2 linked regions of the Yarrowia lipolytica genome follow. The protein of the gene in region 2 purifies or fractionates together with the protein of the main gene of each other region. This does not show direct contact. Links are inferred from orthologs where the notes say so. Each region holds a gene or a part of one and is shown on either strand. Other genes may lie near its edges.

Region 1 (6,182 bases), on a different chromosome or scaffold from region 2:
CTGAGCAGTAACCAGAGATCGATGCAACCCAAACATTATCTGATAGAGTCCAGCATATAACGTCTTCGACTGGGCGTGACAAAAGCAGATATTGACATATAGAAAGCTTTTGGTATATCTTTGGGCATACTGAAAGTTCGAGAAGCTATTTCTAGCCTTTCTGATCTCAGAGATAATGACTATAGCTCGTCCAATATCGCACACAACGTACCTCGGATCAAAGTTACTGTTGACAATCTGGGTACAGCAACAAGCAACGGTGAATGTGCCTTTAGAGCAGTCTTCGAGAAGCGAATTTTTTACTGGGGGATCTTGGAGTTTGGAATACCTGGTTTACGTCTTTTCTACTCAGATTCGGGGAAACAGGGGTCTGTTGACGAAGGCTTCCTGGTGTCTAAAAAAAATACGATTAGGTTTGGAGGTGTTGTAGCATGTCGATGTTAGTAGTTGTGATAGAGGAGTTTTGCACTCGTTGTAGGACAGTTTGGGCGAAGGGTACTTGTTGCATCAGTTTTACATCCGAATATTAATAAATTCCGCAAATAATAGCAGATTTTGGTCACATTACCCAAGAGAGTCCTTTTTTTTTTTTTTTTTTTTTTTTTTTTTTTGGCCATTTTGGGACAGGTAATTCAGGTGTAGCATCAGCGAATGTTCAACTTCTGTGGTGGACTGTCGGCATGGAATCCAACAAAGGAGCTGATATACAGAAACGTTTTCGGCTGATCTTGGAGATGGTACCAATCTCGTATTCATCGCTACACTGTCTCCTGTTCACATTCACCATCCCCATACTTCTCTGTGTCTGTCCAATGGCGGTGAGTGGAGGTCGTTCATTCGCACATATAGGACCACGAGAGTTCTGGAGAGTTCTGGAGAGTTCTGGAGAGTTCTGGAGAAGTTTTTAAAGGGTTTCCATCGCTAAAAGTTTTTGGCAACTAGCGTCCAAGTTTCTGGCAGAAACTGAGCGTCGTGTTCTGCTTACAGCATCTAAACTGGACACCCATGGGCTACAGTACAAGTTCTTATGGAACTATCCCATTGAGAGTTGAGAATCTCCTTCTGTGACCCGCAAATCAGAATCCGTTATCTCTTGCCGTTGAGATTCACTCAGATCATTCCATAACAAGTACCTGTACAAGCCATGGTAGGTACAGTGCCACTTGATTTACTACGACTACTTCGAATTATCACAATAACTAGCGAAAATGAAGATTAAATCGAAGAAAAGAGCGTGATATTCGAAGATCGCGAATAGCTACAGAAACACATTCTTATCATCTACTGTAGTGTATTCTCACCATTCACCCTCACATCATACCCATCATGATCAATACTTGACTAGCTAGTGTATGAGAAACAAGCATCGTAACCACTTTTCATAACCACTCTTCATGACCACTCTTCATAACTAGTATCTCCGGGGTCCACCACAGAAAGAGCTACTTGTAGCAACTTCACCCACCCTAGAATCAATATCCCTACATCTGAGTGCCGGTATCTGCTAATGCGCTCATATGTCATTCCTGCATATTGGATGATGCGGATGGTGCGGAATATGATAATACCGGACTTATATCCATGGGTTCTGTTGAAGCTGAGAAAGTGAGACCGACTGTTGCGAAAAGGCTTAGTAATCAGTTCCAAGGACACCCCTTCTCCACGCCTTCTCCACAAACGCGTGTAATATACCTCCAAAACCTCACTCATGAGCTCTCCCGCAAGACCGTCATTTACTTAGCCTTTCCACTAACTCTAATATTTAGTTGCTTACTACTTGATCTCAAATAAGCTTCTGGATAGGTGAAAAGATTAGAGCTGTACATACAGAAGCACACCCACTTCCACACCACTCTGACATCTCAAAAATGACCTCTGTGGAGAACACCTGCAGCGGCCCCGATTGCGGAAAGATTGTCGACGGCAGCCTCAAGTGCCCCGTCTGTCTCAAGACCGGCGTCAACGCCTTTTTCTGCGACCAGACCTGTTTCAAGCGAAACTGGGCCCTGCATAAGTCGGTCCATAGTCCCGCTGGCCAAGAAACCACTGATCCCTTCCCCAACTACAGCTACTCCGGCGACCTGCGAGCCGTGTACCCCCTGCATCCTCGTCGAGAGGTCAAGCCCAACATTGTGAAGCCCGACTATGCTGGAGACGGTCAGCCCATCAGTGAACAGAAGGTGCAGCGATCCACCCAGATCACCGTGCTTTCCGAGGACGAGCAGAACACCATGCGAAAGGTGTCCAAGCTGGCCCGAGAGGTTCTGGACGCCGGTGCCGCCGCCATCAAGCCCGGAGTGACCACCGAAGAAATCGACGCCATTGTGCATGCTGCTTGTATGGAGCGAAACGCCTACCCTTCGCCTCTCAACTACTACAACTTCCCCAAGTCCGTTTGCACCTCTGTCAACGAGGTCATCTGTCACGGCATTCCTGACAAGCGACCTCTGCAGGACGGCGACATAGTTAACCTGGACGTGACCATCTACAAGGACGGATTCCATGCCGATCTCAACGAGACCTACTACGTCGGAGACAAGGCCAAGGCCAACAAGGACGTTGTGCGACTGGTTGAAACCACCCGACAGTGTCTGGCCAAGGCCATCGAGGCCGTCAAGCCCGGTGTCATGTACAGATCGCTCGGCGAGGTGATTGAGAACGAGGCCAAGAAGGCCAACCTGTCTGTGATCCGAACCTACTGCGGTCACGGTATCAACCAGCTGTTCCACTGTGCCCCCAACGTGCCCCATTACGCCCGAAACAAGGCAGTTGGCGTGATGAAGCCCGGCCACACCTTCACCATCGAGCCCATGCTGTCGCTGGGATCCTTTAAGGACCAGACCTGGCCCGACAACTGGACCGCTGTGACTTCCGACGGAAAGTGGTCCGCACAGTTTGAGCACACTCTGTTAGTCACTGAGACTGGTGTGGAGATTCTCACCGCAAGATACAAGAACTCTCCCGGCGGGCCCGTTTCTGCATGAGCGGCGACCTGAGCGAGGCGGATGAGGTGCAACTACAGTATGTACTTATACTGTACACTGTGCTTGGTCAATCTACTCGAGACTCTACCATCTGTATCACGACTCTACATGGCGACAGATACAGATTCAGCTCACAGATATATGTATGAATGATGATGAACGGGGTGCATAACTGAGAGGTTCACGGTTGTAGTGGTTGCAATAGGTATACTACTTGTAGCTACCCGTACAAGTAAATAGCTAACAAATACCCTTCCCACTTTATTTAGCAGTTCTGATAAAACTACACACTCTCCCTCCTACACATCACTTGGATCCAAACGACACAGACACAACCAAAGCGGCGGACGCAATCATGTTCTGTCTCCAATTCGGCGGGAATGTCTGTGTCGGGTGAGCGAGTGGTGTGTTACAGGAATTGGGGTTGGCAATCACGTCACGTCGCGTCACGCCATGGATGGTTACACATACCCAACAGGTTAAGAGTATCACTGCAGACACGGGACATATCCGTTCTCTCCGTTAAACTTCCGCCTCATGTCTCAGTCTGCCTTATTTCAAGGTGGCCAGAAAATGAGTGTAGGGGTGAAGAAAAAAATTCGTTGCGGCGGAAAGATATGGTGCTATTTGCGGACCTGTCTGGAAGTTGAACTCGGGGCTTTGCATTGTTTGGTTACAGTTTTCTCGCCGTCATTTTCCAGTCATTTGCCCATGGATGGTGCTCGGGTTTTAGTTCTGAAAAAACTAGGTTGGGTTTTGCAAAGTGAGAATTCTCTAGAAGGGGCATGAGGGGAGGCTACAACCTCTTCAGTTTAGCATCGATTTGCATTCTGGAGCGGTTGATCAACGTGAAATTCTTCAATTGGTATGTCTTTCCTTTTTCAGCTCTCTGGCACCCCTCGATCATCCTCCACCTCTCGTCATCCACTCATAATCTCAAACCTAACTTCCCCAGAGTATGCAAAGCTGGAACTCACAGTCCTTTCTCTCCTCACACTTCACCATGCTCCGATACGCTTGCAAACGAGCCGTGCCGCGCCTGAACGCCGCCTCCGGCCTGAGATTCCAGTCCTCCAAGCCCGCCGACGGGCCCGAAACCGTCTTCACCTCTCTCAATGAGGAGAATGACCCCAACCGAGACGCCTTCTTCAAGTACACTTGGGGAACCTGGCTCAAGAACAACGAGGCCGAGCGAGCCAAGCGAGAGACCCGGTTCTCGATCGAGGGTCTTGCCGAGGTGATCAAGTCGCTCCCCCAGTCTGGTAAGGCTCCCATTGAGGCCGAGACCGAAATCAAGGTCACCCAGCTGGCTTCGCTACACGAGGGCAAGCACCACCGAGTCTACCGAGTTGATGTGGACGACGGCAAGCAGTACGTGCTGCGAATCCCCTACGGTCTGGGCTCCGAGCTCTTCCGAAAGAAGCGAATCCAGTCCGAGGTTGCCACCATGGACTTTGTGCGAGAGAAGGTGGCCAACAACAAGTTCATTGTGCCCGAGGTTTACAGCTGGAACGCTACTGTCGACAACCCTCTCGACACTCAGTACACCCTGATGGACTACTTTGCTGGCCGAGACACTCTGATGAAGCACTGGAACCCCGTGGCTCAGGAGATGACCGAGCGAGCCGCCAAGATCAAGCCCGTTGTTGATATCTACTCTGCGCTGCTGCAGCCCGAATTCACCCGGTACGGATCCCTGTACTTCACCGAGGACGTGTCTTCCAAGGACGCTTCTGTTCTGGCCTACAAGGGTGCTGAGAACGACAAGAAGGAGCTTGCTGACCGATGGAGAATTGGACCCACCACCGAGTCTCGATTCTGGAAGAACTCCTTGCCCGAGGACTCGCCCCTGCGAGGCCCCTGGGAGACTGCCGAGGAGTACATTGAGGCCACTGCTGCCATCAACCTGCACAACCTGGCTGAGCTTGCCAAGAACGGCGACCGAAACCCCGCCGTGGTTGCTGCTGCCACCGCCACTTACGAGAAGTACCAGCAGCTTGCCTCCCAGCTTCTCCTGCGACCCGAGGTTGAGAATGACAACCTGTTTTCTGCCCGAATGGGCTTTGGTGACCTGCACCCTATCAACGTGCTTGTTGAAGGCCAGAAGGATATTGCCGAGTCTTCTCTTGCTCTGGTCGACTTTGAGAACACTTCCATTAAGCCCGCTCTGTTGATCGGAACTCCCGACTATGTGCGATACGGAGGCCTCAAGCTGTTCAAGACCGAGGACATTCCCAACTACGACCAGCTCAGCGACCAGGAGAAGGCACAGGTCAACTACATGATTGCCCAGACCCAGAACGCCTTCACTTTTGAGTTCCTGCTCAACAACGAGGCTCCTGAGTTCATCAACTCCTTCTCTCCTCGAGTCAAGCGGCTGTCAGAGCCTGTTAGACTCGCCCTCAACCCTCTGTATCTCGAGGACCACCTTGATCTGTCGGAGGAGATGATCAAGCTGCAGCAGGATTGGACCCCCATCATGGGTATGGAGCGAGAGTTCCCTGTCCACTGGACCAACGAGGAGTATGAGAAGCAGGCCAAGGACTTTGCCGAGTGGAACCAGAAGGCCATGTCCACTCCCTTCTTCCAGACCAAGGGCTGGGTTCCTCAGGACATGTTTGAGCAGCTGTTTGGAAACGGTCTGCTGGACAAGACCGAGAGCGGAGACTATGTCTACGTTCCTCCCAAAAAGGAGTAATGGTTTAGTCCAACTTCAATGTCCAATAGTATATAGTAAATAGTCAATGAGATCAATGAGTCTAGCAATGGCAGGGACCTTATCTATCAACATCTATTATATCTACTAATTAGCACTCTCTAATGGTCACACTTTTTAGGGCCCTGGTCTCCCCAGTCGAGGGTGAACCGTCCCTCGGCGACCTTGTACTCCTTGATCTTCTCAATGACCTCCTCGGCCGTCTCACCTACAACAACAATGTCTCGAGCGCCGTTGCCAATGAACCCCTGTTCCACGGCCTTGTTGATCCATTCAATGAGGCCATCGTAGAAACCGTTGATGTTGAACAGCACGATGGGACAGGAGTGGATTCCCAGCTGGTTCCAGGTAATGACCTCAAACAGCTCCTCTGCGGTTCCGTAGCCACCGGGAAGGGCTACAAACGCATCAGCCTCCTGGCCCATGAGCCGCTTTCGAGTATGCATGTCCTGCACCACAGTTGTCTGTCCGTACTCCTCCAC
Region 2 (8,825 bases):
GTTTCAGAAGATTGCGGTGCTGATTACGGCGGTTTCGCTGACCGTTTTTCTGGCGCAGGCCACAGATACCCTGGAATCGCAATACAATGAAGGATACCAGAATGCATACGAACTACGACACAAAATCATGGGAGGATGGGCATTTCGAATTCTGCAGGTGATCACATGTGTCATCACCTGGCTGGCCCGTTTGCAAGTCGTGATTCGGCTGTTTGACGTGCCCAAAATCAACACTCGATTGGCAGTTGTGGGGTCCACGTTGATTTTCACCAATGCCACCATCTGGGCGTGTCTGAACTTCATTCCCCCGTGGTCGCAGTACGTTCGAAATGCCAAGTCGGTGCTTCCAGTGTTTGGAGCTCTGTGTTCGCTTCTTCTCGAGGTGTTTTATCTCGTGGTGGTTGTCATCTACTCCATTTCCAAACGCAAATACGCATACTCTCGCACGTCTATAGTTATGGCCGCCATCTCGTGGTTGGCCATGATCCTGCCCATGGTCTTTATCGTGTTTGATATTGCTCATTACTGGATTGCAGGCTGGTCAGACTTCATTCGGTGGACGGCTGACGCTGCTGCCTCGGTAGTAGTGTGGGAATGGACCAATGTGATTGTGTACCAGGAGCGAAGAGAGCAACGACAATCAGTCCTGGGCCGTCAGGTGTATAGAGACGAGATTCTGGACTTTAAGGGCGACAACGGAGGAGGAACAGTTGGAGGAGGGCGAACAAAGTATCCTTCTCGCATGGAGGAAGACGACGTTCCTTTCAGATCGTCTCCCAACGACCACCACTTTACTTCCAACATTCCTACTTCTGCTGGCGAGGGACAGTCGTTCCAGTTCTTCAAACGGGCCAGATTGCCCATGTACTCTCGCAAGATTTGGAAAATTGCTCGAGGAGAGTCTGCAGCTAGTAACAACACCCATTACGAGCACGCCATCATTGAGGAAGAGGAGGAGGAGTCCATTGAACGAAACAGACGGACTCCCACTGTTCAGGAGAATGGAGAGGAGGACGACGAGGAGACTTATGACGAAGAGAATGACCAGTACAGCCAGGACAACCATTCGTCTGTGCATTCCTTTGAGTCCAGTCGACCTTCCCAGCACCCAGTTCCTTCCTCCGGAGGCACTCGGGCTGTGGGACACACGCATTTTCCTCTTCCCGGCCAGTCCGAGGGAGCAAACACTACTTCTCCTGCTGCTGCTGCTGCTGCTGCAGAACCTGAACCTGAACCCGTGGCTGGTCCTTCAGGGGGAGCTGCTGCCCATGGAGACTCGGATGACGACTCGGACAACTCGGACGACTCTTCTCTGGCGTCCTTCACCGTGATTCAGCAGACTGGCTTCTCAGTCGACAATCAGGGAGTACCCGAGTACGACGCAGACTCTGCTCCTCCCACTTTTGAACCCATTCCTGGCTTCCATCGCCAGGATTACTCGGATGCAAAGGGATAGGAGACCTATTTATATATTAACGATAATGATTTATGACATTGGACTTTACGATAGGCGAGGCGATGAGGGTGCTTGCGTGTATCGCCGAGATAATGTGAAGTTACTTGTCACTTAAGCCATGCTCATTGTAGCGAGATACAGTAGGATGTTTGTGAGCTTCATTTACCATCCTCTTCAAATTCTCATGACTCAACTCTTTGAATCATGTAGATCGAAGGCAGTCAGTTCAATGTTACATTGTCTATAACTTGCTGAATGATCCAGTTGAAGACTCCAATCAAGTCTCATACGAAACTAGAGTGGTTTTATCACACCGAGTTGTCTTTATTCCGCCGTTGAAACGATATCTATAAATTCACAGCTCGTAAACCAATCCACTATGGATAAATCACAACTGGGCACATCTTCAACGTCGACAACGACAAAGATAATGAATGGTATTGGATTGGAAGCATGAACATATAGCCGTACTCCAGAAATAACCGCCCCAAACTGCTTCCATCTCCCCATCTCCACATCTAACCCCAGGGTTTTCCAAAAAAAAATTTGGTTTTACCATTTTTTATTCAATCACGTGACTTGTATCACTTTACTTGTGTCTCCAACGCCGTTGACAAATTAACCTTCGTCCCCTATAGCTCAGTTGGTAGAGCGTTCGGCTTTTAGTAACCCTAAAGGCATGGTAACCGAAATGTCCAGGGTTCGAGCCCCTGTGGGGGAGTTAACATTGTTAATTTCCTTTTTGTTTTTTTTTGGTGTTTTTCTTTTGTTTTTGTTTCTCCTCGCCTTGGATAAAAATTGTGCACTGGTTTTAGCCCCCTTTCATAAGTACAGTACCGGTACATTGTGCTGGAAGTTGTAGCCATGTCAGATAAAAATGTTGTTTAAATTGCTCACCAAAAAAGTGGAGTCATATTCTGAGATGTTTTGGGCAGTTTTTCGCACGGAAAAAGTTGAAAATCAGATCTACAAACACTTTAAAATATATTTATTGATTCAATTTTGTTGTTTATCACCACTAACACCACGTTTGGTACGTCTTTTGTCCCAGATATTAAACTCCGTTATCAGTGGGGCTTGCATTTATCATGCATAATCGTTTGAATTAGTTTCACATTGAGAATAGTGTCTCTAACTCGGTCAATATCGATGGGGTTGACTAGGTGAAAGTTGTAAATACATTATAAGACTCACCGTGAACTCTAGTAAAAAAATTGTCTTTCTACGACCTCTATTGATCCAGAAAAATGAACATCTCGTGAATCCCCCATTTGCCTGTCCTGATCTTAGAGAAACTCGAAAACTACAATTTTCACAGGGTCAATTGAAGAGCTGGTATATTGCAATGTCATTTAGAGCCTTTATATCAACTTTCGGTGTCAATTTGGGCCCATTTGTCACATTCTCGTGTGTAAATATCGGCTGTCATTTTTTGGCTCGATAGAGTTTTGGTCTAAACCAAACTGCGGTTATTGGAATGAGAGTGGAAAACGTCCAGGTGGGTTGTGAGAGGTGACATGAGCTTGAATCAACCACCAGCGAGTTTCTACCATTGGTTTTTGCCGCTTTCATGGTCTCCTTTTCTCCAAACATCCACCACATTCTAGAAGATTCCAAGGCCTTCTACAACGTTCCACCCGATTCCATAGTGCCGAAACATCACCGGGAATGGGTCCTGAACCGCAAATTTTTCCCGTTTCGCCACCATTCTTCCCATTGACCCGGTTAAAATCGGTTTCTTTGCCACCGGGCGTGAAATCGCCCATCTAGCGCTCATTCTGAATGGTCCAAAACCACCCTTCCCGCTCTAGGAAGAGGCATACCACTGTCGATTCGTACTGCGACCACTCCGCCCAGAAATACTGTACGAATGCTACACTGCTGCCGCCTCTGCTCACACCACCGCCCACATGCACATTTCCCCGCTCATTGGCCCGCGAAAGGGTTGCTACGAGGGCCAGACTGAGGCAGTCTCAGCCTCGCGATTAGGTTAAGGCGTAGGCATATGTGATGCCTTTAGATGTGCGGAAGATGTCGTATCTACTGACGCTAGCAGGGGCAGTACACGTCAACAAACCACATAATCGTCTTCTCCATCCTCGGTTTAGTTGATTTCCCGTCTCTCCCGCCTTTGCCACCGCCACAGGTCCCAATAATCGCCATGGACGATTCCAGAACCGCCTTCAACTTTCAGCTCGGTTAACTTTGACGGTCCCATCGCCAAATATATATATCAGCAGCGGTAGCGGAGCAGACACACATAAAACGCACACGCTAACTACTACTTCAACATTATGTTTCGAGTGAACGCAAAGAACGTGCAGCGATTGAGGGCGCGACCTCTCGCTCACGCCAGCACAAGGACCCAGGTCCAGACCAGAGCTTTGAGTACTGCTGTTCGACCTACGACCTCCGCTACTACCAGCTGCTCTACATGGGGCACCATCAGAACCCCGACGATGATTCGGGCTCCAGGAAGCCTCGGATCGCCGAGATTCATCACTATGACCCAGAACCCCGGTGGCGAAAAGTCGTACCTGGAGTCGTACGGAGTGGATCTGTGCGAAAAGGCCAAGGAGGGCAAGCTAGATCCGGTGATTGGTCGAGACGAGGAGATCAAGCGAACGATCCAGATTCTGTCTCGACGAACGAAAAACAACCCCGCGCTGATTGGTCTGGCCGGAACCGGTAAGACCGCCATCATGGAGGGTCTGGCCCAGCGAATCGTCAACGGCGAGGTGCCCGAGTCCATGAAGGGCAAGCGGGTGATAGCTCTGGACGTGGGGGGACTCATTTCCGGCGCCAAGTACCGGGGCGAGTTCGAGGAACGTCTCAAGGGCATTCTGGAGGAGATTGACAAGGCTGAGGGCGAGGTGATTCTCTTTGTCGACGAGTTGCATCTGCTGCTGGGCCTAGGAAAGGGCGAGGGCTCGGTTGACGCCTCCAACCTGCTCAAGCCCGCTCTGTCGCGAGGTAAGCTGCAGTGCTGTGGAGCCACCACCATTGACGAGTACCGAAAGTACATTGAGAAGGATGCGGCCCTGGCTCGACGATTCCAGTCGGTCATGGTCAACGAGCCCTCCGTGGAAGACGCCATTTCCATTCTGCGAGGTCTCAAGGAGCGGTACGAGGTGCACCACGGAGTGCGACTGACCGACGCTGCTCTGGTGACTGCCGCCGTCTACTCCAACCGGTACATTTCCGACCGGTTCCTCCCCGACAAGGCCATTGATCTGGTTGACGAGGCTTGTTCGGCCCTGCGACTTCAGCACGAGTCCAAGCCCGACGAGCTGCAGGAGCTGGAGCGCCAGACGGTGACTCTGGAGATTGAGCTGGAGTCGCTGCGAGAGGAGGAGGACCCTCTGTCGGTGGAGCGACGAAAGAAGGTGGAGGAGAAGCTCGAATTCAAGAAGGGCGAGATTGAGCGGCTCACCAAGGTGTGGGAGGACGAAAAGCGGGCCATTGACCAGATCAAGGAGACCCAAAAGACCCTTGATGGCGCCCGAACCGATCTCGACACCGCCAGACGAACCGGCGACTTTGCCGCCGCCTCCAAGATCCAGTACCAGGACATTCCCGAGCTGGAGCGGATTCTCAAGGACGCCGAGTCCTCCGACGCCGGCTCTTCGTCTCTTTTGCACGACTCTGTGACCCCCAATGACATTGCCAAGGTTGTTTCTCGAATGACCGGCATCCCTACATCGTCCATGATGAAGGGCGAGAAGGACAAGCTGCTAGATATGGAGGTGTGCATGAAGTCACGTGTTGTGGGCCAGGACGAGGCCGTGGACGCTGTGGCTGACGCAGTGCGACTCCACCGAGCCGGTCTCACCAACCAGAAGCGTCCAGTGGCCTCGTTCATCTTCCTGGGACCCACCGGTACCGGTAAGACCGAGCTGACCAAGGGTCTGGCCGAGTTTCTGTTTGACGACGAGAATGCCATCATTCGGTTCGATATGTCCGAGTTCCAGGAGCGACACTCCATTGCTCGACTCATTGGTTCTCCCCCCGGCTACGTTGGCTACGAAGAGTCTGGAGAGCTGACCGAAAAGGTGCGACGAAAGCCCTACGCCGTGGTTCTGTTTGACGAGTTTGAGAAGGCCCACCCTGATGTGTCCAAGCTGCTGTTGCAGGTGCTGGATGAGGGTACGCTGACCGACTCGCAGGGCCGAAAGGTGGACTTTACCAACACCATTCTGGTCATGACCTCCAACATTGGCCAGGAGTATCTGATTTCGGACTCTCCCGACTCCAAGAAGAAGGTGATTGAGGCGCTCAAGTCGCACTACGCCCCCGAGTTCATCAACCGAATCGACGAGACTCTGGTGTTCAACCGACTGACCAAGGAGGCGCTGACCGAGATTATCGACATCCGGCTGCTCGAGGTCCAGGCTCGACTCGAGGACAAGCGAATCACGCTCTTTGTCGACGACGAGGCCAAGCAGTTCCTCGTCGACCACGGCTACGACCCCATGTACGGCGCCCGACCTCTCAACCGACTCATCCAGAAGAAGGTGCTCAACCCACTGGCTCTCCATCTGATCCAGGGCCGAACCCGAACCGGCGAGAATGTGCACGTGACTGTTAAGGATGGCGACATTTACGTTCCTGCCAACCACGAGACTGGAGAGATTGAGGAGTGAACCAACCTAGCGTCAAGCTGCATGTCTGGTAGACAGAGGTCATCAGATGAAGGTAGACTACACTAATGTATATAGAATAATGTTACTGATTGATAAGTTGAGAGAGAATATTGTAGAGCAGGGCCGATTGTATCAGTGTGTACTCCAACTTGATGAATCAGTCAACACCCCATTTCCAATCGCGTTGATATGGCGTACTTTGAGGTTGTCGGTGTCAACTCAAGCAGCCGTTCCGTAGTGTTATTGGGCAGCGAAATACTCTTATCAAAAGTCACGGAGCAAGCCAATGGACTTGAAAAGTTTGGACAATAGCCAAGAATCTCGATTTCCAAGTGTATTACTTCTCTCCGCCCTTTTCTCCCTCTTCTGAGTACAAGTAAATCTCTGACAGGACTTCACAACAGGTCAACACTATCAAATGATACAATGTGCCCGGGCACTTGAGTTGATTGAAATCATTGACGATCAAATTGCGAAGCCTCGCTTTGCACTCCTCGCTTTGCACTCCTCGCGTTGCACATCCTGTCGGAAGTTTCTGCTCCACCCAGAAACATGTCTACCATTCGTCTCGAAGGACTCTGGCAGGCAGCATAAAAAGAACTGATGACACAGGCATAGATACATTCATCTGTACGCTAAAATAACCCATCTCTAGCCTCAAAAAAAAAAAAATGGACGACACCGGAATCGAACCGGGGACCTCGCGCATGCTAAGCGTATGTGATAACCAACTACACCAGACGCCCTGATTTTTTAAAAACAAGGACATGTGCAACTGAGTTCTGGGTAATGGGTTAGGGATCACTGCCTCTTTGGGTAATCATAATCTATGGATGTTGGAGTTTCACTGATTTCGGAGTTTCACTGATTTAGGAGTTTCAAGCAGATTTTGGAGATACAAGCAAATATATGAGCATATAACAAAGTGTGACAAGTTCATTAGTACTCTTTCAATCAGTTTTCGGTGTTTGGTTAGGCTAAATAACGTGTTGAGGAACTCAAGAGGTGAGTATGGTACGAAGATTCCTCAAAGCGCGGTAGAAAATGGAAAAGCCATTCTTGACGTTTCTCACGTTCATCTATGTGTATTTTCATCGCTGTTTGTTACTCCTTTTCGTTGTCTACACCTTCACCTCTCTAGGTTGAAAATCAATAATCTATATACATGCTTGGTAGCTTGTGGGCCTAGTGCACTGTATCCGAGTCTGTGGAGTTGCATTCTCCATCCATAGAGCACTGGTAAAGTCCATTTGGGTCTGGAACGTCTACTTGAGCTTCTGAATCTCACGTTCTCTCAGATGACGTCTCCAGAGAATCTCGGCGGGGTCCTGCTCCGGCTCCACCCACTGAAAGCCCTCTCCGCTTTCGGACCAGTATAGCTGCATCATTTTCTCATCGTGAGTGGTCACTGGCGCCATTTTTCGGTCAATAAGTGCGTCCAGGACCTCCTCAGACACCTGGCCCTGGTTTTCGGGCATAAGTCGGTCAATCTCGACAATTCGAGACACCATTTTCATCTCGTCCGCGTGGGTAAAGTAGTGCGAGTAGAAAGTGCCCTGCATCCACTTGACCACCTCTCCGTTGCCGCAGAAACGACCAGCAGTTGAAATGACCGAAAAGATGGACACGTTGGCAAAATAAGCCCACCAGAGAATGTGGAAGGTTGCTGGGGCCACACCAAACAGCAGATCGGCAGCCATGAGCCCCTGTCCAGCACCAGAGATGCTCAGGCCAAACAGACCCCACACGCCCAGATATTTAAGCATCTTTTGTTTGATGGACTTGATGTGTTGAGGCGAGCCGGCCGACAGGTCGACGACCTTGAAGGCTGCGGGGAAGTCTGTTTCCCAGAGCGCCTTTCGCAGTGGACCCATGGCCACGGTTCGGGGAATCGGGGTGTCTGGGTTCTTTTGTTGCCACACCTCCATAGCCCGGGTTCCAAACCAAGGAGAGTAGTACTTGGAAGTACACACCGTCTTTTGCAGCATGTCCAACGAAGGCTTTTCAGGTAGGTCCAGCACCTTGTCAATGAGCTCCCGCACCTCGTGAACCTGCGTAGTAAGCCCACTGGCAGCGTATGTGTGTTCCAGCTTGTTGGCAGCATGCAGGGCAGAAACCACGTCTTCAGTTGAAGAAGAAGGCGTCAGCTTGGCCGAGTAAGCTGTAATGGCACCAATGTCGAGCGGACCCGAAAAGGGGACCCGTAAAGCGGCCGTAGTGGAAAATAGACGTCGAGAGAGCATTCTGTGATCTGAAGTTGTTTCCAGTAGTTGCTAGGGGATCAGTGGTTGGATGAGAACAGATTTCCACGTGATTGAATTACTCAACAGATACAATATACTGGAGTGACAAGTCGAATCGTTCCGTTTTCTGCCTTAGTCGCCAGATAGCCGTGGTAGCCGTGTTTTTCGTCAACACAGTCGAAGATATCATATTGGATTTTGACTTTGGATTTTTATTCGTCTGCTTAGTCAGCGGGTGGTCAGCTGGAAACGGGGGGTTCTGGAGGGTTTTGACACGGTTACAGAAGGTTTCTTGCTGGAATTGACTACATGACGCTGGAAATGTATTGTACGTTTGATTTTGTTTGAATATCTCGGGTTTTGGAGATGTTGTAATGACTAAGTAGGTTTAGGCGTTTAGTTATACAATTAGTTGATGTTTTGTTAGACAATAATAGACAGTAAAATGTGGCATCTAAAGTGCTATAAAGAGAGGGATAAAGC

What was found. Proteins that work in one complex are often made in the same cells at the same time.
Region 1: the proteins of YALI1_F16656g (region 2) and YALI1_D21120g purify together in Saccharomyces cerevisiae (affinity purification with mass spectrometry, with the first as the bait; 3 studies listed by BioGRID). This does not show direct contact. The link is inferred for Yarrowia lipolytica from reciprocal best matches to the Saccharomyces cerevisiae genes HSP78 and AIM9.

The regions. Positions count from the first base shown.
Region 1 is NC_090773.1:2,108,109-2,114,290, forward strand, and holds YALI1_D21120g (uncharacterized protein), read left to right. Parts: upstream 1-3,942; coding exon 3,943-5,682; downstream 5,683-6,182. Other genes in the region: YALI1_D21100g (uncharacterized protein), read left to right, coding at 1,869-2,984; YALI1_D21145g (uncharacterized protein), read right to left, coding at 5,802-6,182.
Region 2 is NC_090775.1:1,661,865-1,670,689, forward strand, and holds YALI1_F16656g (uncharacterized protein), read left to right. Parts: upstream 1-3,750; coding exon 3,751-6,099; downstream 6,100-8,825. Other genes in the region: YALI1_F16614g (uncharacterized protein), read left to right, coding at 1-1,456; YALI1_F16649g (uncharacterized protein), read right to left, coding at 2,882-3,076, 3,120-3,233; YALI1_F16702g (uncharacterized protein), read right to left, coding at 7,365-8,342. UniProt on the Saccharomyces cerevisiae protein: Required, in concert with mitochondrial Hsp70 (SSC1), for the dissociation, resolubilization and refolding of aggregates of damaged proteins in the mitochondrial matrix after heat stress.